Notamacropus eugenii: one gene and its partners. The protein of the gene in region 3 purifies or fractionates together with the protein of the main gene of each other region. This does not show direct contact. Links are inferred from orthologs where the notes say so. Each region holds a gene or a part of one and is shown on either strand. Other genes may lie near its edges.

Region 1 (6,897 bases), on a different chromosome or scaffold from region 3:
TGGCAGGGGGAAGGGCCAGCCCAATCCCTGCCCCTCCCCCCAGTCTGGTCCCAGTTACCAAGATAACCTTAGAGGATCCTGGGACCCATACTCCTTCCCTCCTCCCTGTCCTTGGTCCATCTTCTACCATACAGGATGGCAAAGCTTGGGGGGAAGAGGCTAGTGTTGGGAGGAGTCAAAGTCCCAGGGTCCCTCCTTCTCTTTTGCCCAGTTTTCTTAATGACTCACACCCTACCCTGCCCAGCTTCTCCAACCAGCTTTCCCTTGCCCAGCTTGTCCCTACACGTTGATGTGGGGGCCAGGATGTCTGGGTCCTTCCACCCCCAAGACCTGCTCACACTCCTGTCTTTATGTGCAGAGTTCTTTACCTGCTGCCCCCAGACTTGACCCCTCCCCGTGATGGGGCAGGGTACAAGTCCCTGGGGGAGGGTGGGGACAGGGGGAGCCCCTAGTCACTTCATAGAATCCTCCATTGTCAGAGCTGGAAGGGACCTTGTAAGATGGAATGGCAGAGAACCTTAGAACCTGGAATGTCAGAGCTGGGAGGACCCTTAAAGGTATAACCTCCTCATGCTCTAGATGGAGAAACTGAGATTAATCTCAGTAGATTCCTTCCTGTCTCAAGGCCTCAGTTTTTCCATTTGTTGGAGAGATGGAGTCTAAAATCCCTACCAGCTCAAAATCTACAATCTCATAATTAAGATGGCAACCCAAACTGGGGAATCCTATGTTCTGATGATTTCCCATTCACATACTGCCATTGCCCTGAGCAAATCACATTCTCTCCTTCCTCTGTACCTGTAAAATGGGATCATTGATGCTTACCTCATGGAGCTGTTTCAAAAGAGCTTGTAAGCTTGGAGAGACTGAAGTGACTGGGAGTTCTTTGTCTCCCATAGCACACACCCCCTCCCCCAGGTGTCTGAAAACAGGTGGGGAAAGGGAGGTTGTAACATGCTGGGGAAAGGGGCCACTCACACATGGAGGAACACCTGAGAGCTGAAAGGCTGGTGAAAACCAGAGAATTTGCCATCAATGGATGGGAATTTTGTGCCCTGCCTCAGTTTTCATCATATGGCCAGAGCCAAGAGCAGCAGCAGATTTTCAAGTGATTCATCAGGCCAAGGAACAGGGGCATGACTCAAGTTTTGTTCCACAGAGGGCATCTTGCTCTTGAAAAAGTGGCAGAAGTTGGATGTTAGGTCACTGTAAACCTTGGACCAAAACTCTGGATTTACACAGCCTGGGTTTGAGCTTGGGGGTGGGGGTGGGGAGTTGGTTCATGCTGTCCACCTCTACTCCCTCCAGGTTCATTCTGGGAAATCTCAGAATATACTTCCTGGCTAGGGTTCCACAGATGTGTATAAAAGGGTCTCTCAAATCCTTTACAAGCACTCAAGGTAGCAATACATTTACAGGAGATGCAAGACAGCCTTCATTTCATTCAGTCTGTCAAACAACCAACTATATGCCAGGCATCAAACTAAGTACTGAGGATACAAAAAGAGGGAAAAGACAGTCCCTACCCTCAAGGAGGGCAGGAGACATACAGTCTAATTGGGGGGGGGTCAACCTAAAAAGGAACATACAGAGCAAATGATATACAGATAAATAGTAAAGAATCAACAGAGAGAAGGCACTGGGAGTAAGAGGGGTTCTATAGAAGGTGGGATTTTGGTTGGGACTTCAAGCCTGAGAGGTCAGTTGGAGTGGAAAGGGGCTCAGTATCAGTGGATTGAAGGGTACACGTGGAGGGGTAAGATGTAAGAGGACTGGAAAGGTAGGAAGGGCCAGGTTATGAAGGGCTTTCAACCGCAAACAATGCATTTTGTATCTTATCCTAGAGGTAATAGGGAACCACTTGAGCAGGGGAGGGACATTACTGAATCTGTGATTTAAGAAAATCATGTTAGTGGCTGAAGGGAGGACAGGCTAGAGCAGGGAGAGATTCTAAGCAGACCACCTTCCACCCCAGCAGTAATAGTCCAAAAGTGAGGTAATGAAGGTCTACACCGCTGTGACAGCGTAAGATGAAAGGAGGTATATTTCACCCCCACAGATAATGCAGAATTCAAAAATTAATAGCCAACATAAATATAGTGCCAGGCACTTTACCAATATTATCTCATTTGATCCTCACAACAACCCTGGGGGGCAAGTGCTATTATTAGCTCCATTTCACACATGTGAAAACTGAGGCAGTCAGAGCTGAAGTGATTTGCCCAGGGTCTGAGGTTGGATTTGAACTTAGGTCTTCCAGACTCAGCGCTCTAAGCACCGTGGAGTCTCTTTATTCTAAGGTCTGAGTCGTCTCCAGAACGGGAACCATTTCCAGGCAGGGGAGTCGGGGCAATGCCCGGAAATTCTGATGACTGTTTTCCTCGGCAGAGATACCTAGGCCTCGCGCAAGAGGAAAACACACCTGAGGCGAGCCCCGCCCCCAGCCCCACCTACTTAACCCACGCTACCCTGATAGCTGGGTCACCTGTGGCTGTTCCCCGGACTCCCGCGAGCCCTGTCCATGGTGCCCTTCTTTTCTCTACAGCTTATTCCTCGTCTTTTGACGGCTCAGACACCCAAGGACCCCCTCATCTTCCCAAACTTGAGCTCACACAAGGCAGCTCCCAAGACCGGTGTTCCCCAGGACCACCTCCACCCCGATGGTAGCTTTCAGGCTGGATTCTGGAATCAGCCCCCGTCCTAGTTATGGTTGAGGTCGGGTGTAAAAAGAATCTCCGAGAAAGACTTTTTTTTAGCTTAAAAAAAAAAAAGCAAATAGCAAAGATTCAAAACAGTTAAAGGAAGCGCTCGGTGGGGTCTGGGGTGCCCGCAGGAGGTGGGGGAGGGGTTTGCACCCGAGGGGCGAGTTCGATCCGCGTTATTGACATCTGCTCCCTCATTTAAGGGCTCAAGCCGCGACGTGCAGCCTTGGTCCATTTCCAGGGTGAACAGTTGGCCCCAGAGGGGGTCATTGCGCGCCCCCTCCTCCAGGAAGCTCCTCCTGATCTGCCCCCCAGAATTACTTTGTATGTATTGATCTATGTACAAGCTGCACCCCCATCCACAAAACCTCCCCAAGGGTAGAGTTCAGGGGGCGGTGAATGGTAAATTAATAGCTGGGCCTGTAAATAGTCTGTCGTCAGAGGGCACCCTTCACAAAACCAGGTCTAGCTCTGGGTGGGGAGGTACTGGGTTCTAGTTATGCCCTTTGCTGTGTGACCTCAGGTAAGTCGCTGCCCCTCTCTGGGCTCGAATCCGATGACGTAGGCTCAGCTTCAGATGCCTGGGCTGGATCTGAGGCTGCCTGGGTTTAATGGGGCTCGGAACGGGTCTGCATGGCCCCGCCCACTCCACACCTGCAAGGGCTCCTCCAAAACTAAACTGGGCTGAGCTGGGGTGCAGCAAAGCACTGGGATCCTTCGACTTGGGCAGCGAGGAGGAGGCGCCCTCGGACCACGCCACCCAATGGGAAAAGAGAACAGGGATGCAGTGACCAATAAGAATGGGCTCCAAGCCCAGGAGGCGGGAAATGAGGGAGATGGGCGGTAAGCTCCTGGGGGCGGGTCGGCGAGAGGAAGGGCTAATTAGGTCATACAAAAGGGGTGGAGCCAGGGGAAGGCGGCCATAGAGAGACTGGGCTAGAGCGGGGTGTCGGAGGGGGCGGGGCCGGGGAGAGGAGAGGCAAGAGGAGCGGATAGAGAGGCCAGGAACAAAGGCTGGCTATTGGAGGGACAGCCCAAGGAAAGGTGGAATTGGGGCGTCAGTCCGGTCATGGGGCGGGCTTAGAGCAAGGACGGGTCATAGAGAGCGAAGCCTAGAGTGGCCACGGGCGGGGGGAGGTGGAGGGGGGACGGAACCGGCCGGGGAAACAGTGGAGCAGGGCCAGTGCGCCTGCGCGGCTGCGGGGAGCGCGCTCCCGACTTTGAACAGGCCCGGGAGTCCGCGCGCCTGCGCACTAGTGCTGCCCTGAAAGAGCGGCCTCTTCCTTCCCAGGCTGCGGCCTGGTCCAGAAGCCTTGGATTCTGAAGTCTCATCGTTCCTGGCCCCCAGACCCACCATGCCCGAGATCCGCCTCCGCCACGTTGTGTCGTGCAGCAGCCAGGATCCGGTGAGAGAATCGGAGGAGGGGGAGGAGGCATAGGTCTCTGCGGACTTCCGGTTACGGAGGCCCGGCGGGAGGGACTTCCGGTTATCTAGGGGACTCCAGGAGTGTCTGTAGGGGCCACCTGGGATTGTCTAGCGAAGGCAGTTGGAGGTGTCTGGAGGAAGCGCCTTGGGTGTTTGTGGGGGGGAGGGGCGTCTAGAGGAAATACCTGAAGGCGTCTATGAGGGTGTCCATAGGAGGCACCTGGGGGTGTCTGTGGGGGTGTCTATAGGAGGCACCTGGGGGTGTCTGTGGGGGTGTCCAGAGGAGCCCCTGGGGGTGTCTAGGGTCGTATCCATAGGAGGCACTTGGGAATGTCTGGGGGGGTATCTCTAGGAGGCACCTGGGGGTGTCTAGAGGAGTATCCATAGGAGGCACTTGGGAATGTCTGTGGGGGTATCTCTAGGAGGCACCTGGAGGTGTCTAGAGGAGTATCCATAGGAGGCACCTGGAGGTGTCTAGAGGAGTCCCTGGGGGTGTCTAGAGGAGTATCCATAGGAGGCACCTGGGGGTGTCTAGAGGAGCCCCTGGGGGTGTCTAGAGGAGTATCCATGGGAGGCACTTGGGAATGTCTGTGGGGATATCTATAGGAGGCACCTGGAGGTGTCTAGAAGAAGCACCTCAGATATCTATGGGGATGTCTAGAGGAAGCCCCTGGAGGCATTTATGAGGGTGTCTGTAGGAGCCCCTGGGGGTGTTTATGGGGGGCACCTCAGATGTCTATGGGGTCAGCCTGGGAATGTCAGTGGGAAGCCCCTAGGCTTTCTATGGGATGGCTTTGGGGTCTACCTGGGGGTGTATACATGACATTTATCATGTCTGTGAGGGTTCCAGGAATGTCTGTAGGGGACTTTGAGGGTCTAATGGGGCACTTAAGTCCTTGCTATGGACAGAGGATATGGTACATCAATAGAATCTTCAGGAATGACTTTATTACGGGAGGCTCTAGGGGTGTCCATAGGGGATACTGAGGACGTCAGGAATGTCTCACCAAAGGGGTTAGTAGCAGACATCTCTGAATATCCATGGGAGGTTCAAGGAGGCCTGGGGGCCTCTGCCGGTGTCTGTGGGCACCCTCTCCCCTCTAGAAGGTGATGATCACAAAGAGCCAGCTTTCCAGGACAGACCAGAGGTTTGCTAGGTGCAAACCAGAGTCTACCTAGATTTGGGTGAAGCCTCCACTGTCTTTGCCATGTTGTGGACAAGGTGGAGAGTAGTGTCCTCACTCACCTGGAGCAGCTTCAGAAGGGGCTGAGTGGTCACCCCCAGTGGGTGGTCTTGAAGGCACTGTGGCACCCTGGGGGAGCCCCAGAATAGGTACTCTTTCAATATTGCATTAATGACTTTGGTCAAGAATTGGCTGGCATTGTTGATTGTCAGGGCAGATGATGCAGGGCTAGGAGAGACGGTTAACAACAGCCATCAGGAGGGACTCAGAGAGTTCCTGGGGGCAAGACTGTGGGCTGAATCTAAGGGTGACATTGTCCAGGGGTCTGTCAGGTCCTGCCCATTTCTTCCATGCCAGGCAGGGATGCAAATGCAAAGAATGATCCATCCCTCCTCTTGAGCAGCTTATGCTGTAGTGGACATGTAGTTTGTCTTTACAGAATAAATATAAATAGGGAGACACTTGAAGCCATGTGTGGGTCCCAGAGGACCTAAGCTGGGCGGCAGCTTTTCTGAACACTCTGATAGAAAAGTTCCTAGCATCCTTGGAAGCCAAGAAAGCAAATGTGATGATCTTGGCCCAGTGCACAGGAGGACTGGGCAGGGCTAGGGGTGGGGGTGGGGGGCAGTGTAGGGGGTCCTGCTGCCCTCTGGCCTGATATCATTGTCTTCAGGATGGTGGTTAGTTCTTGGCACCCCAGCCAAGGAAGGACATAGATGAGTGTCTACTAGGAGGCAGCCAGGAGGCTGAATTGGAGGAGAGATGACCTGTCCAGGGGTCTTTGAAAGCTATCTCTAGACCCGTTTAACCCCTGGGGCAGAATAGGAGTTGCCAGGATGGGCATTTCCACTTCCTGACCGCTGAAGGTAGTAAGAGGACCGGCTGACCCAGAGGGTGGGGAGCTTCTGAAGGGAAGCTGGATGGATGACCACAGCTACTTGTTGGCCCCATGAGGCCAGGACATTCCTGCTCAGGCAGCTCCTGCTACCCCTTCAGAACTTGGGGATTCTATGATGGTGGGCTGGGGCAGTGGCATCTCTTGGGGATTATCAGAGGGAGCAGGGGAGTCGTGGAATATCTTGGTGATGTGTCTGACACTGAGGGGCCCTGCCGTGAGTGTTTCATGGGGTCTGGATGTTTGGGGATAGGGGAGCAGAGGGTGGCTCTGGAGGTATCTGTAAGGGATACCTTGGAGGGCGAGCTGAGGTTATCTGTAAGAGCCATCATAGGATTCCATTAGGAGATATCTGAGGGAGAATGCTGAAACTCTCTGGGAGGGTGGGGTCCAAGATTGTTCCTGGAGGATTTCTGAGCTGGCTCTAGGGACCCCTGAGACTCTGACCAGGATACATCTAGGGACATCTGTCAGGGCTGCTTAGTGCAGACATCTGTTAATTGGGAGGGGGCTTTTGGTTGTTTATAGGGGACACAAAGGTATTTGTATAGTCCGGGGGAACTTTATGAGTTATCTGTAGGGACAAATAGAAATAGTTATCACTTGGAGCTTCTTAGGTTTTGAGACTATCTCGAGGTGCCATCTTGGGGCGTCCCAAGGGAACATCTAGGACTCTCTAGGGGAACTCCC
Region 2 (7,464 bases), on a different chromosome or scaffold from region 3:
AAAGCAATTTACAACCTGGCCCCAATATACGTTTCCAACTCTATGACTTCCACTTTCCCACTTTACAATCCAGTCAAACTGGCCTTCTTGATGTTCCTCCCATAATATTCTATTTCTAGTGTCTGTGTTTGTGCTGCATAGCCCCCACACCTGGAATGCAGTCCCTCCTCACCTTTACCTCCTTAAAGACTCGGTTCAAGCAATACCTATATGAAACTTTTTTTGATCCCCTTCTTCCCCACTCCCTTCGCCCTTCCATCACCATGTCAAGTGCCCTCTCCTAAAAAACTTACTTTATATGTATTTTGTGTATGCTACCTTAAGTGCATGTCTCTCCTGATAGGCTATCAGTGCCTTGAAAATAGGGTCTGTCCATTTTGGTCTTTGTATCTATCCTCAGAGCCTAAGGGCAGCTAATTGGGAGAACAGGTAGAGTGCTGAGCTTACAGTCAGGAAAACTGAGTTCAAATCTTACCTTAGACATTTACTAGCTGTGTGACCCTGGTCAAGTTGCTTGACCCTGTTTTCCTCCATTTCCTCAACTGTAAAACGAACTGAAAAAGGAAATGACAAGCCACTCCAGTATCTTTGCTGAAAAAACCCCCAACAGAATCATGCAGAGTGGAACATGACTGAAATAACTGAAGAAACAAATCCTCAGAGCCCAGCACAGTGCCTAGTACATATTGGGTGTTAATGGTTGATTATAAATAATTCTACCATCAGGATTCTTCAAAGTTAACTCCTTCTAGTTGGAAAGGCTGTTTGGTATTCAAAGACCTTCCTATCGGACCCCTCCTATCTTTATTATCTTCTAATACCTTACTCCCTGACCCATGCCTGCCCCAGGTATATACTTTGACTTCCTGGCTGTTCCACAAACTGGACACTCCATCTCTCAGCACCAGGCATATTCTCTGACTGTTCCCCATGCCTGAAATGCTCTCCCTCCTCCACTCTGACAACTAACCTCTCCGTCTTCTTATAATAAGAAGCCTTTCCCAACCTTTCTTAATTCAAGTGCCTTCCCTCTCTCTTAATTATTTCCTATTAGTCTTCTCTATAGCTTGCTTTATATTTGTTTGCATGTTGATTCCCTATTTAGACTATAAGCTTGAGGACAGGGACTCTCTTTTGACTCTTTGTATACCCACAGTACATATTGTTGTTCAGTCGTTTTCAGTTGCATTCAACTCTTTGTGACCCCATTTGGGGTTTTCTTGGCAAAGACACTGGAATGGTTTGCCATTTCCTTCTCCAAACAGGGTTAAGTGACCTGCCCAGGGTCAAACACCTAGTAGGTGCCTGAGGTCAGATTTGAACTCAGAAACGTGTCTTCTATCCACTGTGCCACGTAGGTGCCCTCCTGGCACATAACAGGCTCAGTGACGGACTCCTTGAAAGGAAATGTGAACTTTTCTTTAGAATGAATCAAGTTATTTTAAAATCAAACTACTAAAGATAAACAACATTCAGACTTGGAGAATGATATAGGGAAAAACAATGTGATCTCTTAAAAGTTGAAAGATCAATTAACTCTTCCTAAGGCATTTTCAACTTTGTCATATCACCTTTGCAAACAAGAAGGCTGACATAAATTTTTCATAGACTTGATCTTAAATTTACAGACTGATATTTTCCTTCTTACTTCAAGATTCTAAGAATCTATGATTTTATGGGTATTCTTTCAATGAGTGAATCAGAACCAATATATTACAACCCTTCACACTTTAGTGTCTTAGTTTCTGTGGCCAGCACTTTCAGACAGGTTTTATTAAGATTAATAATATTTTACAGGAAAAAAATTCATTCTCAAACAGCTACCTAACATACTCTTCAAGTTGAGTATTGGTACAACAAAAAAGCTTCTTCATTTGTATTTAGAAAATTGGTTAGGATCATAAATCTAACACTTTAATAAGAGTTGATGAAGCATGCACTATTCATTGCCCTGAAAAGGGAAACAGATATGACATCTTCTATTAGAAATAAAAGAGTTTTTTAGAACTTAATGACTATAAGAAGTTAGTTTACAGTTTAATCTTTGGTCAAATTTAGCAACTGCAACATAAAGAAACTCAATCATTATCATTACCTACTATTTTCACATTCTTTCTCTGAATTGGCATTGACAAAAGTAACTTCTGCTGCAATGCCAGTTCAGTGTGGCCAAGAGAGAAAAGAAGTATATTCTTCTGTCTTTCCCATTCAGGGTAGAAAACACAGCCTTGGATCAATAGTGTTGCCATACAGCAGACAAAATTAGGACCTCTTCTATACTGCATTTTAAAAATCCTAATTGAAACAACTTATATATATATAAATATATAAATACATATACAAATTTATGAATATATAAAAATATAAAAGTTATATAAATAACTATATATTGCTTTAAGATTTGCAAAGCTCTACACATAAATTATTTCATTTGATAAATGTAAATAGCTACATACTAGCATAGTATTTAAAAAATACTAGCTTGGGGTTTTCTTGGCAGATGCTGGAATGGTGTGCCATTTCCTTCTCCTCATTTTACAGATAAGTAACTGAGGCAAGCAGGGTTAAGATAAATACAGACTTAGAAGATAAACATTAACAGCTAGATATTAGCATAGTACTTAAAAAATATTAGCTAATTAACTAGCTCTTGCGTAAATAAGTGGCTTTATCATAGGATTAGATAGGTAGGTAGGTAGGCAGGCAAAGGGAAAAAAAAGAGAAGAGAGAACACACACAGCTAGGCATCACAGTGGATAAAACCCCTGGACCTAGTCAGGAGAACCTGAGTTCAAATCTAGCTCCAGAGATTAGCTGTGTGATACTAGATAAACGCCTCCGTTTCCTTGTCCTTATCTCAGAATTGTTGCTGAAATGAAAAAAGCATTATTTCCAGTTCAGGACTAATTGGGAGCAGGTATATAGAATTCCTTTAAGCAACTAAATATTTCAACACCAAATGCTTCAGGACTAAACTTATATAAGCAAACATTTTGCAAATGCTGCAGTATCCTTCCTTTTCCTTCCCATTCCCATCCCCTAAATAAATACATAAAGAAATGAAGCAACAAAATAAACCTGGCAGAAATTTGAAATGACTCTGAACTTGAACTTTCAATCACTTGCAGTCCTCAGCTGCACTGTGACTCAGCGTTTTACAATGCCAGAAGCGAAGTGAGATAAAGGGCTTTCTTTTTAATGGCACCGGCTAAATCTGGAGCTTCAGAGCTTGCGGCACCTCAAGACAAAAGGTAGAGAGTGGAAAAGGTTGAGTGGTTACAGCACCAAGGGCTCTGACTTTCCTACGTGGTAGAAAACAGGCAGCATGGATCTAACTGAAGTGGAATGAGTGTCTTGTAATTCCAAGGGAGACAAAGCTGGCTTCAATTTCCTAAAACAAAGATTATTGGCATGTTATTCACAAATAACCAAGCAGCTTACAACGAAAACAAAGGGAAAAGCTACATTCCTCTAACCACCCTAAAGTTAGGAACATGTTTCAGAGTCAGGAAACCAACACTTGAAGAGTTGAGAAAGTCAATTTCCTCATCCTCTTTCTTAATGCAAGTAAAACGGGGTCACCATGGGGGGAGCGGGGGTGTCTTTCAAAAACTGAATAAAACTAAGTCCAATAGGAAAAAAAACCCAATCTGAAAGGTAGCGAGAAAGAGACGGAAGCTCGTTTTGCCCGAAGGTCCTGGGAACAAGCCATCCAGAGGCAGAGGGAGATGAAGGAGGGCAGAAGAACGGGAGGCGGTAGGTAAAGCTTAAGGGGGGGAGGGGGAAACAAAGGGTTCGGGGTGACAAAGGACTAGGGTAACCCCAACTAGATAATGAAACAGGGGCTTCCCGTAAGGCAGGAGGTGGGCCCAACAGTCATCAGGGTGGAGACGGGGCAGCGAATAAACAGAAGCAGTCCATGACAGCAGGAGGTCGGGCAGCACAAGGGGGGCATGGACTGGGGCAATCCGGAAGTCCGAGGTTCAAGTCCCGCCTTTCACACAAACTGTGGGACCATGGCAACGAACTCTCTGGGACCACGAGTAGTGGGAGAGCTGCCACGCATAAATCACAGGTCTGAAAGACGGTGAAGCTGAGGGGCATCCCTAAGACACCTTTCAGCCGTTAAAAAACACGGAAGGATTCTGTTGGGGGTCAAACCTTGCCCTTCTCTGAGCCTCAGTTTCCCTATCTGTAAGTCGAGAGATCAGGCCAGGACGCGTGACCGAGAGGATAACCAAGTTTGAGGGGAGCTCTAAAATCATTCTCAAGTTTTTCCCAGTATTTTCCTCGCACCACCAAGAAACAAACAAAACCCAGAAACCTGCCGGATACTTTTGACTTCTAGTCCAGAGGAGCCAGCGCCCCAACACGAGCCGGTGTCCCCTCCCCGCCCCCCGCAGCTGCCCCCTCCAACCGCCGGTCCCAACCACCTCCTGGAGGGGAGGGGCTCGACTGCGCCGCCGCGTCCGGCACCGAGGGGGCGGGGCTGGCTCCCGACGTTATACGTGAGGTCGGAGTTCAGCTCCTCCTCTTCCCTCCTCTACCTCCTCTCGCTTCTCCTTCTCCTCAGCCGTCGCCGCTGCCGCCTCTCCAGGGCCCGGGTTCGCCGCCGCTTTCTGCCGTCTCCCGCCCTCTGCCCTGCGATGGCGAACGTGGCTGATACGAAGCTCTACGACATCCTCGGGGTCCCTCCAGGCGCCAGCGAGAACGAGCTGAAGAAGGTAGCGGCATGCGCGGGCGGTGCGGCGCGGGCCGGCCGGCCGGCGGGCGAGCGGGGCGGCGCGGGGCCAGGACCTGGGCTCGGGCCCAGGCGCGGGGCAGGTTTAGGGCTGGGCAGCCCTGGCGGGGAGAGCGGCCCGGCGGCTCGAGGGGCTGTACGGCGTCCGGAGCTTGAGACCGCGCCGGGGCCTGCCGGGGAAAGCGGAGCTGGCCTGGCTGGGGCCCACATGCGGCGCCCCGGCTTCGGCCTCCAGGCGGCTCCCTTCCTCCTCCGGCTTCCTGCCGCCGCCGCCGCACCGGTGCCTCCCCCCACCCCCGCCCCCCCGGATCCTGCTCATCCCACTGACCTTGGGAGCAGCGATGCCGGGCGGAAATGGAGGCCGGGGCTCCCCGGGGAGCTGTCCTGGGGCCTCCCGCTCGGTTTTTCAGGCAGTACCTTCCCCTAAACGAGCAACACCCCCGAGGCCCGGGCACTGAAACCTCCGCCCTGTGGCCGCCCCGAGAGCCGCCCCACCTCCCTCGCATCCCGGTGCCGAGGTCACCACCCCTGGAAGAACAGGTTGAACCCACGCACCTGGGTGCATCCTCGGCCCGGCCTTTACCCCCTCCTTACTAAAGCAGCCACCGATAAAAGGGGTGTGTGCCTGGGACGAGGGAGGACGCTGGTTGGGAAAGGATGTTTCCCCTGTGTCATCAGCTAAAAGCTTCTCCTCCGCCGGGCCCTCTCTGCTCGTGGTCCCAAGGGCTGCGGACTAAGGGGGAAAGGCTGCTGGCATCACCTGGCCCCCGGGCTCCTGCTGACATTGGAGCAGCTGGGAATGAGGCGAGAACTGCTTCCGTGGGCGATGTTGCTGCTCCGTAACATGCAGTGCCTCATCGGCATGGGTGATTAAACTGGGGTGTAGCACATGGGCACGTTGGGGTGCATTGTTGTGAAGCCTGGTCATTCCAATTGTCGGTTCTGCTGGGATGAAACTGGCACTTCGTCTGAAGTAAACACTTGAAGCCCTCGCCAAAAAAAAAAAAAAAAAATGGAAGACCTCGTTACTTGTAGTAGTGCAGTCTATCATCTGAGAATTTCAGAGCACTTTAGATATTTAATTAATCCTCACCGCATCCTTCAGATGTTGCATCAAAATTTGTGGGCTGGCTGAAATGGAATTGCCCTAGGCGATGAGGCTGAGGGACTGCTGGGAGTAAAATCTCTGAAAATGGGCTTCCTGTCACCTTACCGGAAGTGATTTACTATTATATAATTCATTTCTCTGCGTGAAGGCTTTAGTCATTAACCATATAGTTTAACATGTATTTCCAAATCTACCAAGCCAAAGATCACGACATGATTTAATTACCCAGAGCATTCCTGTATGAAAATGAGTTGTAAGCCTATAGTAGTTTCATTTTGCCCTGTTCCTGGTATGGGGGATGCGGAGGGGCATCTACTAGAGCTTATTTACGATCTGTTCTGAATATTCATTAACTATTAGTACTTATGTAGATTACTAGAAACTTTTTCCTCTTGTTTCTTTTCAATAAAGCACCCAGGAGTAAGTGAGAGACTGAAACAATGTTCCATTATATTTTCTTCTCTCTATTTGTATCTCAATTTTTAAAAACTCTTCAACCGTGATTGTAACTGGGGAATGTTATGGTTACATAAACAAATGATATTAAAACTGGAGTTAATTTAAATAAGTATCCTGGCGGAAAAAAGGTACGTATTTAGGATATAAGCTTAGTGAATTTTTTTACTTAAAATTCTTCCTCAAAAAAAGTGCAAGTTAAAATAGTTTTAACTGTTTTTGTGAGTAATTTTTTTGTTATCCTTTCTCTAAGGCTTATAGAAAGTTGGCCAAGGAATACCATCCTGATAAGAATCCAAATGCAGGGGACAAAGTAAGTTTTAGATATTTGAGATTTTGTGTTTAGCTTTCAAACTTAGATAGTTGTATTCCTTTTGAAAATAAATATTTTCTTATTTTAACAAAGTCAGGTCTCGTTGGCTTAAAGAATAATGTAAGTTGTATAGTAAAAACATTTTTAAAAGAGCTGAAGGAGATAAGACTAGAAATAATTAATCTGAAAAACTGCAGCTTCTATTTCTTTAGACTCTAAATCTGTTTGTAGGCTACTGTGTACATAAATGACTCATGGGGTTTCCCTTCATCGTCATCATAAAGTAAATGTCCCTGTCATTAAGGGCATTTACAGTCTATTTGGGGAGATGCAGAATAATAGCAAATATAAAATAATGCATAAATACATAAGAATTGCAAGTAAAGGGACCTATTAGGTCTGAGTTGTGGTGAAGGTGATTACTGAAGGAAAGGAATTATGAAGTTTTCCTTAAGTAATTCAGTGGATAGGGAAAGACAGTTCCTAAAATGAAAAGCAACACAAACTGAAGTATAGAAAGAGATATCATAGTGTAATGGAAAGACTTGGATGTCTTACCTCTAGTGAGTCACTTAAGTTTTCTGGGCCTTAGTTTCCTCATGTAAGATAACAGGCTTGGATCAAATGACTTAGATTATTTCCACTTCTGCGTGTTATAAATTTTGATTAACAATATTTGGATACACTGCAGCAGGTTTTTAATTAGAGATTGATTGCTATACCGCCTCTGTCAGTGTGTGGTTAGACAGACTTTAATGTTAGCCAAAGCAGAATATAATGGAGTCATTTTGCTGAAGTGGGAAAATACAAAACAAAATTTAAAAATTTTTAGCATTAATCCTTATT
Region 3 (7,123 bases):
GCTAATTAGCAATGCTGAGAAATTCCAGTTAACAAGGACATTCTCCTAGACTGCGGGTTCCCTGCCGCTCGCCTTCATTTCCATAAGAAGATTAAGAGTGGAGGGGAGCGCTCTCAGATGCAGATGCAGAAACGAAGCGTCTCTTAACGAGCATCGTAATAGTAAGATGCTAGGCTAGTTCTCACCTAATTACCGCAAGTTAAACCTCTATTTGCCGCTAGGGAGAAAAAAATAGGTCTGCGGTTCTTTCGACGAACAAAATTGTTTGATAGCTTTAGATGTGTTACTGCTGGGATGGGGGGGGGGGGGGGGGGGGAGGGTGCAGGAGAAGGGAGTGGACACGCAGAAATAAATAAACTTAAATTAAAAAGTTAGATTTCCACTTACCACAGGAAGTTGTTTCTTTGGGGGATTCTAAAGGGCTTTTACCTAGGGCCGATCCCAGAACTGAAGGAAGACAAAATATTCCAGGAGCTTCTTCCCCGCCCTCTCCTACACCCCAACCTTTTAAACTAATCTATCAATAAAAGTATGGAAGAGTTATTTCCCGTCCTTTGGGAGGAAGAGGGGGAGGGGGAAGGGAAGGAAAGAAGGAATATTTCTATCCTGTTTCCTACACGCATTTTTCCGTTTCCATAAATTATACCAAAGACAACATGAAAAAGAGTCCTGAACGAAGAGCCCTGTCTTAAGTCTCATTCTCTTCCTGAGGAGTGCGTGGAGGGTGGTTATTAGCGATGCAGCAGGCTAACAGGAAGGACTGTGGGACTGGGGCGCTTGCTCCAGCGTGTGGGGTTGGAGGTTAGGAGTATTTAGGGCTGAGTGATGGCCGTGAGTTTCAATGGTGTGGCCAGGGATTCGATTTCGTAAATATACATGTCGTCAGAAATCTACTGGGAAAAGGGGTTTCCGCGCCCTCAGTGGCTCCTGATTTTCCTGAGCACATTATTCTCACGCCTGAATGCCAGCGACAGTTAGTTGTACTGCGCGGATAAGTCAAACGCGCTTAATTAAAACAAAGCTGAAAATAAATGCAGCCAATGAGGACCCAATTGTGACGCATTTTCTCCCCCGCTCATTTATGTGATCAACGCAATTAGCTGAGGCCGAAGCCAGCCCCTTTCACCTCTTAAATGCATTATTATAGAGTTCAGGCATAAATGCATGCAATCTGGTTATCAGAGGTGGGGGTGGGAAGGAATCTTCCGGCTGTCTCAGTTGAGCGAGCCCCAACTCCCTATTGCCCATCCCGAGAAGACCGGACAAATGCACTCGGGTCTCCACGGGCACCAGTTATCAATTTCTAGCAATAAACCAACCCCCACCCATGGCTACCCCCACGGCAACCTACCTCCGGCCCAAACTTAATTAAGCTGCGAGATTAGAGGAGGGAGGGGAAGAAAGGACCCGGGGGTGGGGGAATGATGTGATCAAGCGCACACACCCAGAAGAAGAGGCGCCCCTAATTTTCACCCTCCCTAATTTTAGCCCAAGGATTAGACAGGCGTTAAGTAGTTGAGTAAATTGAATCAGACTCTTACACGCCTCTGAGGGACACACACCAATCTGTTGATAAAAATTACTTGTAATTAATTTTGCTTCTCACCACCCCACCCATCCCTCCTTCTTTAGGGAGAAGATGAAGATTGCCTAACGTTTTTTTCTTTTTAAAATGAAAAGCGCGATTCTTGGGGAAAACTCGCGCCAGTAGGGGGCGCACCAATCCCGTCCCTGAAACCCGTGGCGCAGAAAAGCCTGTGGCAGCCACCTCGGGCAGGGCTCCAGCTCCAGCTCCTGGCTCCTGCAGCCCCTCCCTGCGGCCCCGACCGCCCCCCCCCCCACCTCACCCCCACCTCCGCCTCCAACCTCCCTAATCATTCTTCCCATCCTCCTTGGCCTGGTCTCTGGGCGCGTTGGGGCACCTCTCATTCCATTGTAAAGCAGACAGTCCCGGGGGTCCCACATCCCCCTCCCCCTTTCAAAGGAGCCCAGGCTTTATAACTAAGACCCAAACTTTAGAAAATAAGTTGGAAGTATTGCCCCCACCCACTTTCTTTGAAGAGATAGGGGGGCTAAATTTAGAGGAATTCTGAAAGTGCCCCCCACACACATCGATTTCATGACTTACGCCTCCCCCCCCTCCCCACAATTTTCCAAGTTAGTTTACGAGAGAAGAGTACAGAGCGGGGCGGGAGGGGGTGGGGGGGTGTAATGATGGAAGGGGAGCCGCGACTTCTCTTCCTCCACAGTAATTCGGACTTATGCTGAGTGAATTAATGCAATAAAGGGAACGTGGCCGGGGAGCTAGCGATCGGTACATTTGCCTACCAGTGAAGGGCGGAGGACCGAGGGGAGTAGGGTAGGGTGTTAAAGGAGAAAAAAATAAATAACCCTGATGGTTTAAGTCCTTTATAAGCCACAAATAGCATGAGGTTGCTGCTTCTTTTTTTCTTTTGTAGTCAAGTGCATTTTAGCCACAAAGATCGCAACAAGAGAGTGGAAGGAAACTTAGACCGGGCTTTGTTTGCCTGCGTGTAGTGACAACAACAGAAACAAAACTACCTATTTGTAACGGACGTGCTCCCATTTCTCTACGCATTGAGCTCCTACCTATTGAAATCTTTACATCGGGACAATGGGAGAGCGGCTAAAATTACCCTCCTGGGTCCGCGGCGAGCAAGATTCCCGAGACCCTCCAGTCCAGTCCCCCTCCCACCTACCCCCTCCCTTCTCGTCCTGTCTCTTCTCCACTCCTTCCTCCCTTCCCCCCTTCCAGGTTTTTTGTCCAGAGCCTGCTCCCTCCCCTCTCCTGACCCTGAATGGGTCTGGCAGACCTCACCCCACCCTGACCTCTCGGCCCCGGGGAGCCCAGTCCCAAGCGCACTGCTGAGCCAAAAGAAGGTGGGGAGTGTAGTGCAGACTTTGGGGGGAGTGAGCGACGGGGACAAAAGGAAAGGGTGATAAAGTTTGGCTTGTGGGAACTGTGTTGGAGGCGCTTAAAAACCATAGCACGTTAGAACTTGGGAGTTGTGTTCTGTCTGATCTCAGGTCCGAGTCTGAACTGACGGCACGTTCATCCAGCTCCTTTCTTCCTCTTCTTGTTTCCTTCTTTCTGTCTCCCTCTTCTTTCCCTCCTCCTTCGTTTATTAGAGTTATGCTTCTCTCATTCCTTATTTGAAAGGGACACTGAAATTCTTCTGATAGGCTTAAGAGAAAGGAGGGAAGAGGAGGAGAATGAGGAATATAGGGCTAGGGTTTGTGGCTTTTTTTTTTTTTGCTTTTCCTCACGGTTTGAATGGATTAAGGATTGGGAGGGTGGGGGTGGGGCGGGGCCATAGCCAGGGGAAGGGGGGTTAGGGCGAAGTAGGAGCAGGAGGAGAATGAATTAGATATGAGATACCTACAATTTCTTGATAACAAAGCCTATATAGGAAGAAAAGTGGTGTCCCGGCAACGAGGGATGGATGCATTGGCCTGAAACTTGACAGGAATGAGCTTACAAATATTTTCTAAACATGGAAGGAAAGTGAGAGCGAAGATGGTCTCGGGACTACTACTTTTCCAACTTCTTTGCAGAAACCACAGTGAGATGAAAAATACCAGAGAGGAAAGCAAGCTAAAGGGACAAATTGGACCTTCGTGTGGGGGTGGGGATGATGGAGGAGGAGAACCTGTAGCCCGGTGGGCCTGGCAGCTAATTCCGTAGTTCTAGGTAAAGTGCCTAGGGGAGGGGAAAGAACAAGGGTGGGCACACCAAATCTCTATGACCCTTTTTGGAAATACTAATGGGAGACTTAGATTAAGAGGCCCCTGCACCCCATCACTACTCAATCTCCTCCTTCGTCCAACCCTCAACTCCCCAAAATCAATACCAAGTTTGAGGGGGGAAAAGCCCAAGGCGGCCACAGTGCTGTTCACCCTCTTCCTCCGAAAAGGCGTGTGGTGTGACCTGTTGCAGCGAGAGGGATACAAAGGTTTCTTAGTGGCTGGCTGGCTGGCGGTGGGACCCGCCTCCCCCTCCCCCAGGGCCGCCGAAGGCTCCGCGGCGCGGAAAGCCCCGCCCCCTTTCATGCAAAACCAGCCGGAGAGGCTTGTCCTGTGTGGAGGAGCCCGAGCGCGCTGATTGGTCCGGGAAAACCCATTTATTCCCTGACAGCCCCCATCACATGGATGGTTGTCTATTAACTTGTTCAAAAAAGTCTCAGGAGTTGTCAAGGCGGAGAGGAGAGTGTTTGCAAAAGGGGGGAAAGTAGTTTGCTGCCTCTTTAAGACTCGGAGGAGAGAGAACAAGCGAGAAGAGAAGGAGAGCGAGAAAGAAAGAGAGGAAGAGAGAGAGGGGGAGAGAGAAAGAAGTTTTGAGCCCCGGGCTCAAAGGAGCGTTTCACCCAAATAATAATAACAATAATAGCGGCGGCGGCGGCAGCAGAAATCGAAGCCAGTGGAGGAGTTTTTCTTCCTGATCTTGCTTCCAGTTCGTCTTCTTGCTCTGCGTTTTTAATCGCTCCTCATCTTATTTTTCTGGAGACGCGCGCTCCCGACCCCCCCACCCTTCTCCTCCCCTCCTCCCCTCCCCCCGCCCTCGGGCCCCCCGAAAAGTCTCGCCGGCCAGTCCGGGACGCCCGAGGCCGGCCCGGGGAGGTCGGGGGCCCGCGGAGCGCGCGATCCAGGAAGCAGCGCGATGTACAACATGCTGGAGACCGACCTCAAGCCTCCCGGCCCGCAGCAAACTTCGGGGGGCGGCGGTGGCGGTGGCGGCGGCGGTGGCGGCGGCGGCGGCCCTAACTCCACGTCGGCGGGCGGCACGAACCAGAAGAACAGCCCGGATCGCGTAAAGCGGCCCATGAACGCCTTCATGGTGTGGTCCCGCGGGCAGCGGCGCAAGATGGCCCAGGAGAACCCCAAGATGCACAACTCGGAGATCAGCAAGCGGCTGGGCGCCGAGTGGAAGCTGCTGTCCGAGGCCGAGAAGCGGCCCTTCATCGACGAGGCCAAGCGGCTGCGCGCCTTGCACATGAAGGAGCACCCGGACTACAAGTACCGGCCGCGCCGGAAAACCAAGACGCTGCTCAAGAAGGACAAATACACGCTGCCCGGCGGCCTGCTGGCTCCCGGCGGCAACAGCATGGGCGGCGGCGTCGGCGTCGGGGCCGGCGGCCTGGGTGGCGGCGTCAACCAGCGCATGGACAGCTACGCGCACATGAACGGCTGGAGCAACGGCGGCTACGGCATGATGCAGGAGCAGCTGGGCTACCCTCAGCACCCGGGGCTCAACGCGCACAACGCGGCGGCCGCAGCAGCTGCAGCGGCCGCGGCCGCCCAGATGCAACCCATGCACCGCTACGACGTGAGCGCCTTGCAGTACAACTCCATGACGAGCTCGCAGACTTACATGAACGGCTCGCCCACCTACAGCAGCATGGCGTACTCGCAGCAGGCCGCCCCCGGCGGCGGCGCTGGCGGAGGCGGTGGCGGCGCCATGGCCCTGGGCTCCATGGGCTCCGTGGTCAAGTCAGAGGCCAGCTCCAGCCCCCCCGTGGTCACCTCGTCGTCGCACTCCAGGGCGCCCTGCCAGGCCGGGGACCTGCGGGACATGATCAGCATGTACCTGCCCGGCGCCGAGGTGCCCGAGCCCTCGGCGCCCAGCAGACTTCACATGTCCCAGCACTACCAGGGCGCGCCGGTGCCGGGCACGGCCATCAACGGTACGCTGCCCCTGTCGCACATGTAAGCCCCGGAGCCCGGCAGGGCAGGAACATTTTTTTTAAGGAAAAGGAAAAAAAAGACACAAAGAGACTGTATGGCATAGAGAAGGGGGCCCACCGCACCACGGGATGGGAGGGGGGGGAAATTCCCCACCATCTACAGCAATGACAACTGCGAAGAGGAACTTAGATACACACACGCACACACACACACACACACACACACACACACACACACACAACACAACAAAACAAAAACCCAACAGCCACGGCAACACCAAGAAGAAAACTTTTATTGAGAGATTCCGGACTTCTTTTTGGGGGGGACTATTTTTGTACAGAGAACTTGGGGGAGGGGGAGACAAGGGGGGCCTTGTATAGATCTCTGAAGGGAAGAAAACTACACAAAACTTTTTAAAAAGTTCTAGCGTGGACGGTAGGAGCTTTGCAGAAAGTTTGCAAAAGTCTTTACCCATAATATTTAGAGCTAGTCTCCAGGTGACGACGAAAAAAATGTTTTAATATTTGCAAGCAACTTTTGTACAGTATTTATCGATATAAACATGGCAATCAAAATGTCCATTGTTTCTAATCTGAAAATTTGCCAATATTTTTCAAGAGTCTTCTTGCAGAATTTCCGATCACTGCAACTGGGATTTGGGGCAGTTGCAAACAAGAGAGGAGGGAATTAATTTCAATTTGGACATTTTAATTGTTTAGAAATTGTACAAAAGGAGAAAAAATTTAGGATACTTGCAAAAAACCATTTCCGTGCTTTTCTATAAAAGGGCAAACGTTTAGGTTGTACTCATTTTTTTTACTTATTGTTAAGAAGGAAAAAAAAGCAAAAGCTGGCCCCTCCACACAGGCTGCCATGGCTGATAATTTATAATAGCATTTATTTCCAAACTTTTCATTCTGTTTCAATTTGAACACAAATTAAAAAAAAAACAAAAACAAAAAACCCAGCAAGAGCGACCTGAAATTACTGTGTTTGAAATATTTTCTTATGGTTTGTAATATTTCTGTAAATTTATTGTGATATTTACGGTTTTTTTTTCCTCCCTCATTTTTGGTAGTTGTATTTTAAAAACTCGGCTGACTCTGTGTTTCTTTAAACCAGTCTGCCGAGAGTCCATGTACATATATTTGAACTAATCCCGTCCTTATAACAGGTACATTTTCAACTTAAGTTTTTATTCCATTATGCACAGTTTGAGATAATAAATTTTTGAAATATGGACACTGAAATTCCATTTGCGTCTTGGATTTCTTTGGAGAAGACAATGGCGTTGCTTGGAAGTACTTGGGGGTACTAAAATGCCAGGCTCCTTAGAGTGGTCTTAGCAAAAAGAAAAATAACAAAATAGACTCGAGGTGTCCACTGCCGGGCACCAGGTCTAAAAATGCAAAATAGCTAG
Region 4 (7,637 bases), on a different chromosome or scaffold from region 3:
TATGTGTATATATGTGCATATATCCAATCCAGTAAGCATTTACTAAGTACCCATGATGTACCAGATATTGTGATGTGTTGGGGACACAATAAAAAGACAATCCCTGCCATCGATGAGCTTATAACCTAAAGGATGAAGATATGTGTGTGTGTGTATACATACACACATATATACGTTGTGTGTGTGTTTTCTCCAGTATTTCCTAAAGTCCATGATTTTATTGGTGTAATACTCCTTGCATTGATCTAGAACATAACTCTTCTTTGCTTTTGGAAAATCAACAAAACAAAATAGAGATTCCAAAAATAAAACCAAGTATATACATGAGTTTAGTATTTGCTAAGTTTCTGTAAAACTGAAAAAAAGTTATAAATATTTTAAAAAACTCAATAGTATATCTACATATACACATATACATGCCCTCCATCACCTGGAGTATTGAGTTTAGTTCTGCACCACCATTTAAGAAGGACTGTTTTAAGCTAAAGAGTATCTAGAAGGAGGCACCAGTGTGGTAAAGAATCAAAGATATGAGGATTGGGGGAGATTTTTTTCAAATATTTGAAGAGCTGTCATGTGGGAGAGGGATTGGATTGGTTCTCTTTAGCCCCTGGTAGCCAAAACGGGAGCAATAGGCAGGAAATTTCAGAGACAAATTTTTCCTTGATGTCAAAAAAAAAAAAAGTTCCTAACAGCAGAGCTTATCTGCTCTGCCTCAAGAGGTGGACAGTTCCCCCTCCTTGGAGGTCTTCAATTAGAGGGTGGATGATCACTTGTCAGGTATATTTTAGTGGAGATTCCTTTTGAATATGAGTTGGATTCAAGCATGTGCTGGATCCAGTTGGCTCTTCAAAGCCAATTGTTAAATTTTTAGTGGGAGCGTTTTCACCTCAGAAATCTGCAAATTCTTCAAATCAGAGCTTGATTTATTATTTTGTTGATTGTCAAGATTTATGAAAGTGATGGAGAAATTGTTAATAATGCAGATTAAACTTTAAAATGTGATCTCCATATATTTTTTCTTCCGGTAGCCAGTTGTTAAATATTTACCAGGGCATTCCTAGTTGGACTGGAATAGATAGCTGCTAACTACATATGACTACAACAAAGTAAACAGAACACAACAAGAAAAAATTAAAACTGAATGTTATGTGATTATAATGATCAAATGGTACAAAAGAAGAGATATGAAAATGCACACACACGTACACACACCCTTCTTTACAAAAATTGAAGGTTAAGGTTATGGAGTATCACATACAGTTGGACTAAAGTGATCTATTGGTTAATTATGTTGAACTTTTTTTTATTCTTTGTTAAAAAGAATGGTTCTCTGGGTGAAAAAAAGGGAGGGATATTAGGAGATGAAGGTGATACAAAAAGAAAAGTTATCAATAAAGTTTTTTTTTTTTACAGCAAAACAACTAAACCTTTCACACTCTTTGGCCCAACAATCACACTTTTGGGAATATACTCTCACAGAATCGAAAGGCAGAAATGAAATTTCAATATGTAACAAAATATTCATAGCAAAATTCTTTGGTAGCCAAGAACTAGAAACAAAATGGGTCTTCTTAGACTGTTAAGTAGCTAAGATAACAACAATTCTAAGTCATATGAGTACAATGGAAAATTATTGTACAGTAAGAAATGATGACTGAAGAATTCAGAGAAAAATGGGAAAACTTGTAAGAACTGAAACAGAACAAAATATGCAGAACCTACAAAAATGCAAATCAACCAATAATTAAAAAGAAGCTGAACTTTGAGCAAGAGAAAAGCCACTGAAGGTACCAGAGAAGATATAATGAATTATACGTCCTCACTGTAGAGAAATAGGGGACCACTAGGAAAGAATAGGATATGCGATGCCAGAAAGAGGTCTCTACAAGAGGTTTTTGATTATTTTTCTTTTGTACAAGGGAAGGTTCAATATAGAAGGAGTATGAGAAATGGCTAATGTAATGACAAAAGGCATAAGTAAAATGTATATTAAAATATAAGAATAAAAAAATAATAGATTGAGGAAAAGGATCATGGTCAACATAACAGATTAAAAACAATACCTAAATTTTATAAATTTATAAAACTGTTAAAATTCAATATCTAGTGAATAATCAATGGGAATAAGATGATTTTTAAGAGGAAATACAAATGGTAAGTAATCACTTAATGTTTAATCTCACTAATAAAAAAATACACTCCAACAATTTTGAGGTACCATCCCAATCTCAAACTGACAAAGTAACAATACAAGACTGGTTCAACTGTGTAGAGAAGTATATTCATACGTTACTGATGGAATTTCAAATGTTGATACTTCAGCCTCTTGAGAAGTAATCCAGCATTATGCCATGGGAGTTATTAAAAAAATCACATTCTGATTTAATATTCTCTTTATTGGGAAAACAGAATATTATCAAAAAGAAAAGTGAGCTGTTAGTTCAAATACATCTATTGCAGCATTATTTATAATTGTGAAAATTGACAAAAATCTAAATGTCAAAGGGGAAATGATTTAATAGATTGCTATGTCAATGTAATATAATGCATCATGCAATTAAAATGAGTAAGTCTGAAGAATACAAATATAGAAAGATGAAATAATGTGTAAGTTAAGAACAGTATATACTTAGATTATATATAACCAAAAAATGTATAAAGAGAAATAATAAAGAATAGATAAAAGGGACAATAAGAAGGAAAAGGAATTGGCATTTACATGGTGCCTATAGTGTCTCAAGTATCGTGCTAAGTACTTTAACAAATATCTCATTTGATCTTCACAACAATCCTTCAAAGCAGGTACTATTATTATCCCCATTTTACAGTAGAGAAAACTGAGGCAAACAGTGATTAAGTGACTTGCTCAAGGTCATATAGTTAGTAATTATCTGAAGTTGGATTTCCATTCAGATCTGTTCTGACTCCAGGCCAGAGCTCTATCCACTGTATCACCAAACTGCCTCCAAAGGGCATACATGTATTCTTAACAAAACCAGGTGGGCCACAGGGAGAAACTGGTGTGGACATTTTGTTTGTTGAACGGTATTTTTTTTTTTTTGGCATTAATGGTCATAAAACTACGTTTTAATTGATTCTGTTGATATTTGAGGTTAAGTTCATAATAAATAATGAAAAAAAGGAAAGGGCCAATATGCGAAGCTTTTGTTTCATTAAGCAGAGAAACTTCTATGGCTAGTCCATAGGCTATCTGAATTTTGTTGAGATAACATGACACATTGTTGGATATTCGAGACAAGTCCTAAGGCATCTCCATTAAACTATGTTAGCTACAACACTTATTTGTATTATTTTTCTTATTAGGAAGAATTAGTAATTAAAATTACTTCAGTGAGAATGAATGGAACTGAAGCAGATCCTCAATACTGAAGTTTACAAAACCAGTGGATTAAGGGAACCTTAGAGAGTTTTTCATATTTCCCCCCTCTTTTCACTCCCACCCTTCTCAGGGCCCCAGGCCTGATATTCTGGCACCAGTGTTCACCTCTGGGAATTAGAGAACAGAAAAATTCCAGTGGCAGGTAAGTTGTAATCAAGTCAGTAGCCTTTATTAAGGGCTTTACACCATTCTAGTCAGGGCAGTTAGGTGGCTCATCGGAGAGAGTTTGTGACATAGAGGAGTCAGGTAGACTCCCGTTTCTGAGTTCCAATAAGGCCTCCGACACTAACTAGTTGCATGACCCTACGTAAGTCACTTGATCCTTTTTGCCTCGGTTTCTTATCTTTAAAATGAGCTGAAGAATTCATTTTAATTCTTCCATGCAACATGACTAAGGTGAAAATGTATTTAATAAGAATGTATGTGTAGAACCTATATAAGATTGTCTCCTGGAGAGAGAAAGGAGGGGGAAGGTGGAAAAGGGAGGGGGAAAAAGCTAAGATATATATGGAAGGGATTGTAGAAAACTGAGAACAAATTAATTAATAAAAAAATAAAATAAAATGAACTGGAGAAGGACATGGCAAACCACTCAAGTATCTTTGCTAGAAAACCCCAAATGGGTTCACAAAGAGTCAGACATGACTGAACAACTTGTTCTGGTCACTGTGCTAAACGTTGGGGATGCAAAGAAAACCACCAACACGCCCTCTGCTAGCAAGGAGCTCACATTCTAGCCGGGGTGACCACATACAACTTTTTTCATTCCAGATGGACAGTGGAGCCTGAGAAAGGCCTTCTGGGGTAGGCGGGATGGGAGCTGAGTTCTAAAGGAAGCCGGGAAGCACAGGTGAGAAGTGGAGGTTCCGAGTATTGGGGAGAGGGGAGTGGAGAGAAGGGGATGGGGCAGCTAACGAAAATAGACAATACAGTATTGTTTTGGAAATATTTCTAGCCTTTTACTGCCATCGCTTCACGCCTTTTTCCCAGCCTTAAGTCAGATAATATAAGATGAAATTATCTTTTCCTTGTTATTGATTTAGGAGCACTTAAGGGTCCTATACGATTATTTAACTCTTTAAACTTCCGATGGGTCTCAGATCTCCTCCCTTTGGGGAGTTAGTTTCGTGAAGACTCTGGAAGCATGGGGAACTGACTGTCCGAGGTGCTTAAGTTCATGCCACAGCTCTGAGTGGCTTATTTAAATCTTTGGTCTTTCCAACAGCCCTGTTACATTTCCCCTTGAACCCCAGACAGCCCCGAAGGTGATTTCCATGGAGTTTTCACGCGAGGAGAACAGCCCCCTGAATTCAGCCCACTGCCATGCCCACTGGAAGGAGACCATCCCAGCTTGGCAGCTGTCACGTCCTCCCACCTCCTTGGCTGGCCCCTGGGCCTCCCACCCGTGCCCTTCCCAGGGGCAGGCACGCTGCCTCCTCCCCCACGCAGAACCCCGCGGGGCCGGCTGGGGTATGGAGGTGAGTGGCGGAGGGGGCGGGGGGCACCGGCCGGCCGGGCTCCGTGTCCTTCTTTGGCCATGTTGCCCGCGGCCTCTCATTGTAGGCGTCAGAGGGAGGAGGTGTCCGGAGCTGCCACTAGCGCGCGGCTGCCCGGGGGGGCAGGAGGGAGGGAGGAGGACAGCAGGGAGGTGGCACCACCGCAGTCGCGTAATCCCTTCCTCCTCCTTCCTGCAGCCACCGCTGCCGAGCTGCCCCATGGCTCAGGCGAAGATCAACGCGAAAGCCAACGAGGGCAGGTTCTGCCGCTCCTCCTCCATGGCCGACCGCTCCAGCCGCCTGCTCGAGAGCCTGGACCAGCTGGAGCTCAGGTGAGCCGGCCGGGGGGGCCCGCGTGCCCACGGCTCCCGTCCCGTGCCCGCGCTGCCCGCTGGCCGCCCCGGAGCCCCCCGGGCCGGAGCTGGAGCCAGCCTGCCCCCGTGGCAGGGGGCGGTTTGGGGGACGCTGGCACCTTTAGAGAGAGGGCACACTTTGGGGAAGGAGAGAGAGACGGGGTGGGGGCCGGAGGAGAACCAAGTGGAGCATCTCTGGCACTGTTTTGCCCTTTGGGGGTCCATCTCCATAATGGGGCGGTGTGGCGTAGTGAATAGAGAGCCGACTTCCAGGGCAGCAAGACTTGGGTTCGAGTCCTGCCCCTGAAGCACTTGCGACCCGTACAGTCTTGGTGCGTGTTGCCCCCGCCGTTAGAACGTGTGTTCCTTTAGGGCAGGAACCATGTAGATTTTTGTCTTTTTGCCATTCTGTGTATCCTCGGCGCTTAGCACAGTGCCTGGCACGAAATAAGCGCCTGATAAGTCCAAGCTTGCTGACCGACTCCCAGAAATCCCCCAGCCTCATTGCTTTATGCAGCTCACTAAGACTATTTCGCCACATTCGTGAAATCAGATTGGTCAGGAACCGAAACTGAGGTTTGCAACAGTGGGATCTCTTGGTGTGGAAATGTTACCCCTGCTGCCCCATTCCCTCATGAAGACATACAACTCAGGTACTCAAGAGGGGCACTGAGAGATAAAATGGTTTTTGTCTGTGGATTTAAACCCAGATTTTCCGGGCTCCAAGGCCAACCCTGTATCTTGTATGCTACTGTCTTGGTGAAATGCTTATGCCAGATAAAATCTGGGTAACTTCATTGTTTGAGCATTCTTTAGGGTGGTTTGGCCACTTTTACAGTCCCATTCCCATGATCCTTTTGGACATCTGAATGTGGTATTTAGAAAAAAAAACAGATGGCAAAATCTACTGTGACATCATCTGACTGATTATAGGTTTCAACATCTGATTTTGAAGTGCTCTTTTAATGTCTTTTATATTCACTTGGTTGCTGCTCTTTCTTCTTTAGTGGAGTTTATACATAGTCACTGATACAGGGTGTCCCAAAAGTTTTAGGGCAGTTGTAATCTTTTTAAGAGCTTAGCACTGCTCTAAATTTTTGTAACACCCTGTAGATTGGTCACTAAAGGTTTATTCACTCCAAAGAGAAGGTTATCCAAAAAAGCATGTTGAGTAGCTTCCACTGGGACTAGTTAACAATGTGTGGAGAGAATAAACTGATTAATGCTACTTTTCTCATGCTAGCGTAGCACCACTTTGTACTATTTGGGCCTTTTATTCATAATCTGCCATTCTGGCCTGCTGTTGTAGAGTTATTCACAAGGGTTTGATGTTTGTGTGTCTGTTTACTTTTCTAGTGACTGTAGCCTTCTCTAACACTTAGGAATAGATTTGTACAAAAATTTTAAACTGTTAGCTAGTAACAGTGTTTTCTATAAGAAAATAATGTATATTTATCATAATGTCCTTGGTGATTTTTTTTAAGCTTTTATGGCATAAACTTTAATCATAAGCAGTTATAGCTAAACTAAAATTCCTTTAATATATATTTACTTTTTATTTATAAAACAAGATAAAGTATACATAAAATGCTGTGCAGATCTTAAAGTACTAAAAATGTAAGCTATTTTTAAAGCAACAGTAACATTTGCATAGCAGTGTGCAAGGTTTGCAAAACACTTTGCATACATTATGTTATTTGATTCTCACAATTATCCTGTAAAGTAGGTGCTATTATTATTCCCTTTACAGATGTGGAAACTGAGGCAGAGTGAGGCTGACTTGGCCAGGGTCATATAACTAATATCTGAGGCAGGATTTGAAACTAGGTCTTCCTTCTTGCAGCTGAGCCGCACAGCAGATAGAAATGCTGGGCCTGGAATCAGGAAGACCTGACTTCAAATTTGTGCTGACACTATCCACTTTTGTAGCCCTGGGCAAATCTCTATAGTGGCTTCAGTTTTATGCTGTAAAATGAAAATATTAATAGCGCTTACCTTGCTGGGGTACTTAGCACTGTGCCTGACATGCAGTAGGTGCTACATAAATGTTTATCCCCTTCCTGACTCCAAAGTCCAACACCATCCGTTGTGCCATTGAGCTGCCTACTATGTAGCAAGGGATAAATCCTTCATTTATAAAAAGATGTATAGGATTAATGAATATGTTCTCCTAGAAACTGAGGCTTGTGGCATTGTTAACCTAAGTACCAATGAGCCAGAAAGGGAGAGGAACCGATTTTCTATTCTCAATTTTAATGGCAATGGCAGAAACTACTATTTCTAGGTCTTTACCTTTCTTCCATCTTTGCTCAGGATAAAACCCAGGAGGAATTGAAAATTCATGAGAATGAACACAATAAATATAGGCTTAGTTAACAGCTTTCT

Evidence for each region.
Region 1: the proteins of SOX2 (region 3) and XRCC1 purify together in Homo sapiens (affinity purification with mass spectrometry; 3 studies listed by BioGRID and IntAct, with this or other methods). This does not show direct contact. The link is inferred for Notamacropus eugenii from reciprocal best matches to the Homo sapiens genes SOX2 and XRCC1.
Region 2: the proteins of SOX2 (region 3) and DNAJA2 purify together in Homo sapiens (affinity purification with mass spectrometry; 3 studies listed by BioGRID and IntAct, with this or other methods). This does not show direct contact. The link is inferred for Notamacropus eugenii from reciprocal best matches to the Homo sapiens genes SOX2 and DNAJA2.
Region 4: the proteins of SOX2 (region 3) and BAG2 purify together in Homo sapiens (affinity purification with mass spectrometry; 3 studies listed by BioGRID and IntAct, with this or other methods). This does not show direct contact. The link is inferred for Notamacropus eugenii from reciprocal best matches to the Homo sapiens genes SOX2 and BAG2.

Annotation. Positions count from the first base shown.
Region 1 is NC_092876.1:25,377,877-25,384,773, forward strand, and holds the start of XRCC1 (DNA repair protein XRCC1), read left to right. Parts: upstream 1-3,878; 5' UTR 3,879-4,057; coding exon 4,058-4,108; intron 4,109-4,165; exon of another isoform or gene 4,166-4,255; intron 4,256-6,897. UniProt on the Homo sapiens protein: Scaffold protein involved in DNA single-strand break repair by mediating the assembly of DNA break repair protein complexes. Negatively regulates ADP-ribosyltransferase activity of PARP1 during base-excision repair in order to prevent excessive PARP1 activity.
Region 2 is NC_092872.1:461,624,305-461,631,768, reverse strand, and holds the start of DNAJA2 (dnaJ homolog subfamily A member 2), read left to right. Parts: upstream 1-4,458; 5' UTR 4,459-4,646; coding exon 4,647-4,724; intron 4,725-6,558; coding exon 6,559-6,618; intron 6,619-7,464. UniProt on the Homo sapiens protein: Co-chaperone of Hsc70. Stimulates ATP hydrolysis and the folding of unfolded proteins mediated by HSPA1A/B (in vitro).
Region 3 is NC_092877.1:342,641,501-342,648,623, reverse strand, and holds SOX2 (transcription factor SOX-2), read left to right. Parts: upstream 1-4,101; 5' UTR 4,102-4,678; coding exon 4,679-5,728; 3' UTR 5,729-6,953; downstream 6,954-7,123. UniProt on the Homo sapiens protein: Transcription factor that forms a trimeric complex with OCT4 on DNA and controls the expression of a number of genes involved in embryonic development such as YES1, FGF4, UTF1 and ZFP206. Binds to the proximal enhancer region of NANOG.
Region 4 is NC_092873.1:125,380,262-125,387,898, forward strand, and holds the start of BAG2 (BAG family molecular chaperone regulator 2), read left to right. Parts: upstream 1-4,633; 5' UTR 4,634-4,677; coding exon 4,678-4,881; intron 4,882-5,097; coding exon 5,098-5,231; intron 5,232-7,637. UniProt on the Homo sapiens protein: Co-chaperone for HSP70 and HSC70 chaperone proteins. Acts as a nucleotide-exchange factor (NEF) promoting the release of ADP from the HSP70 and HSC70 proteins thereby triggering client/substrate protein release.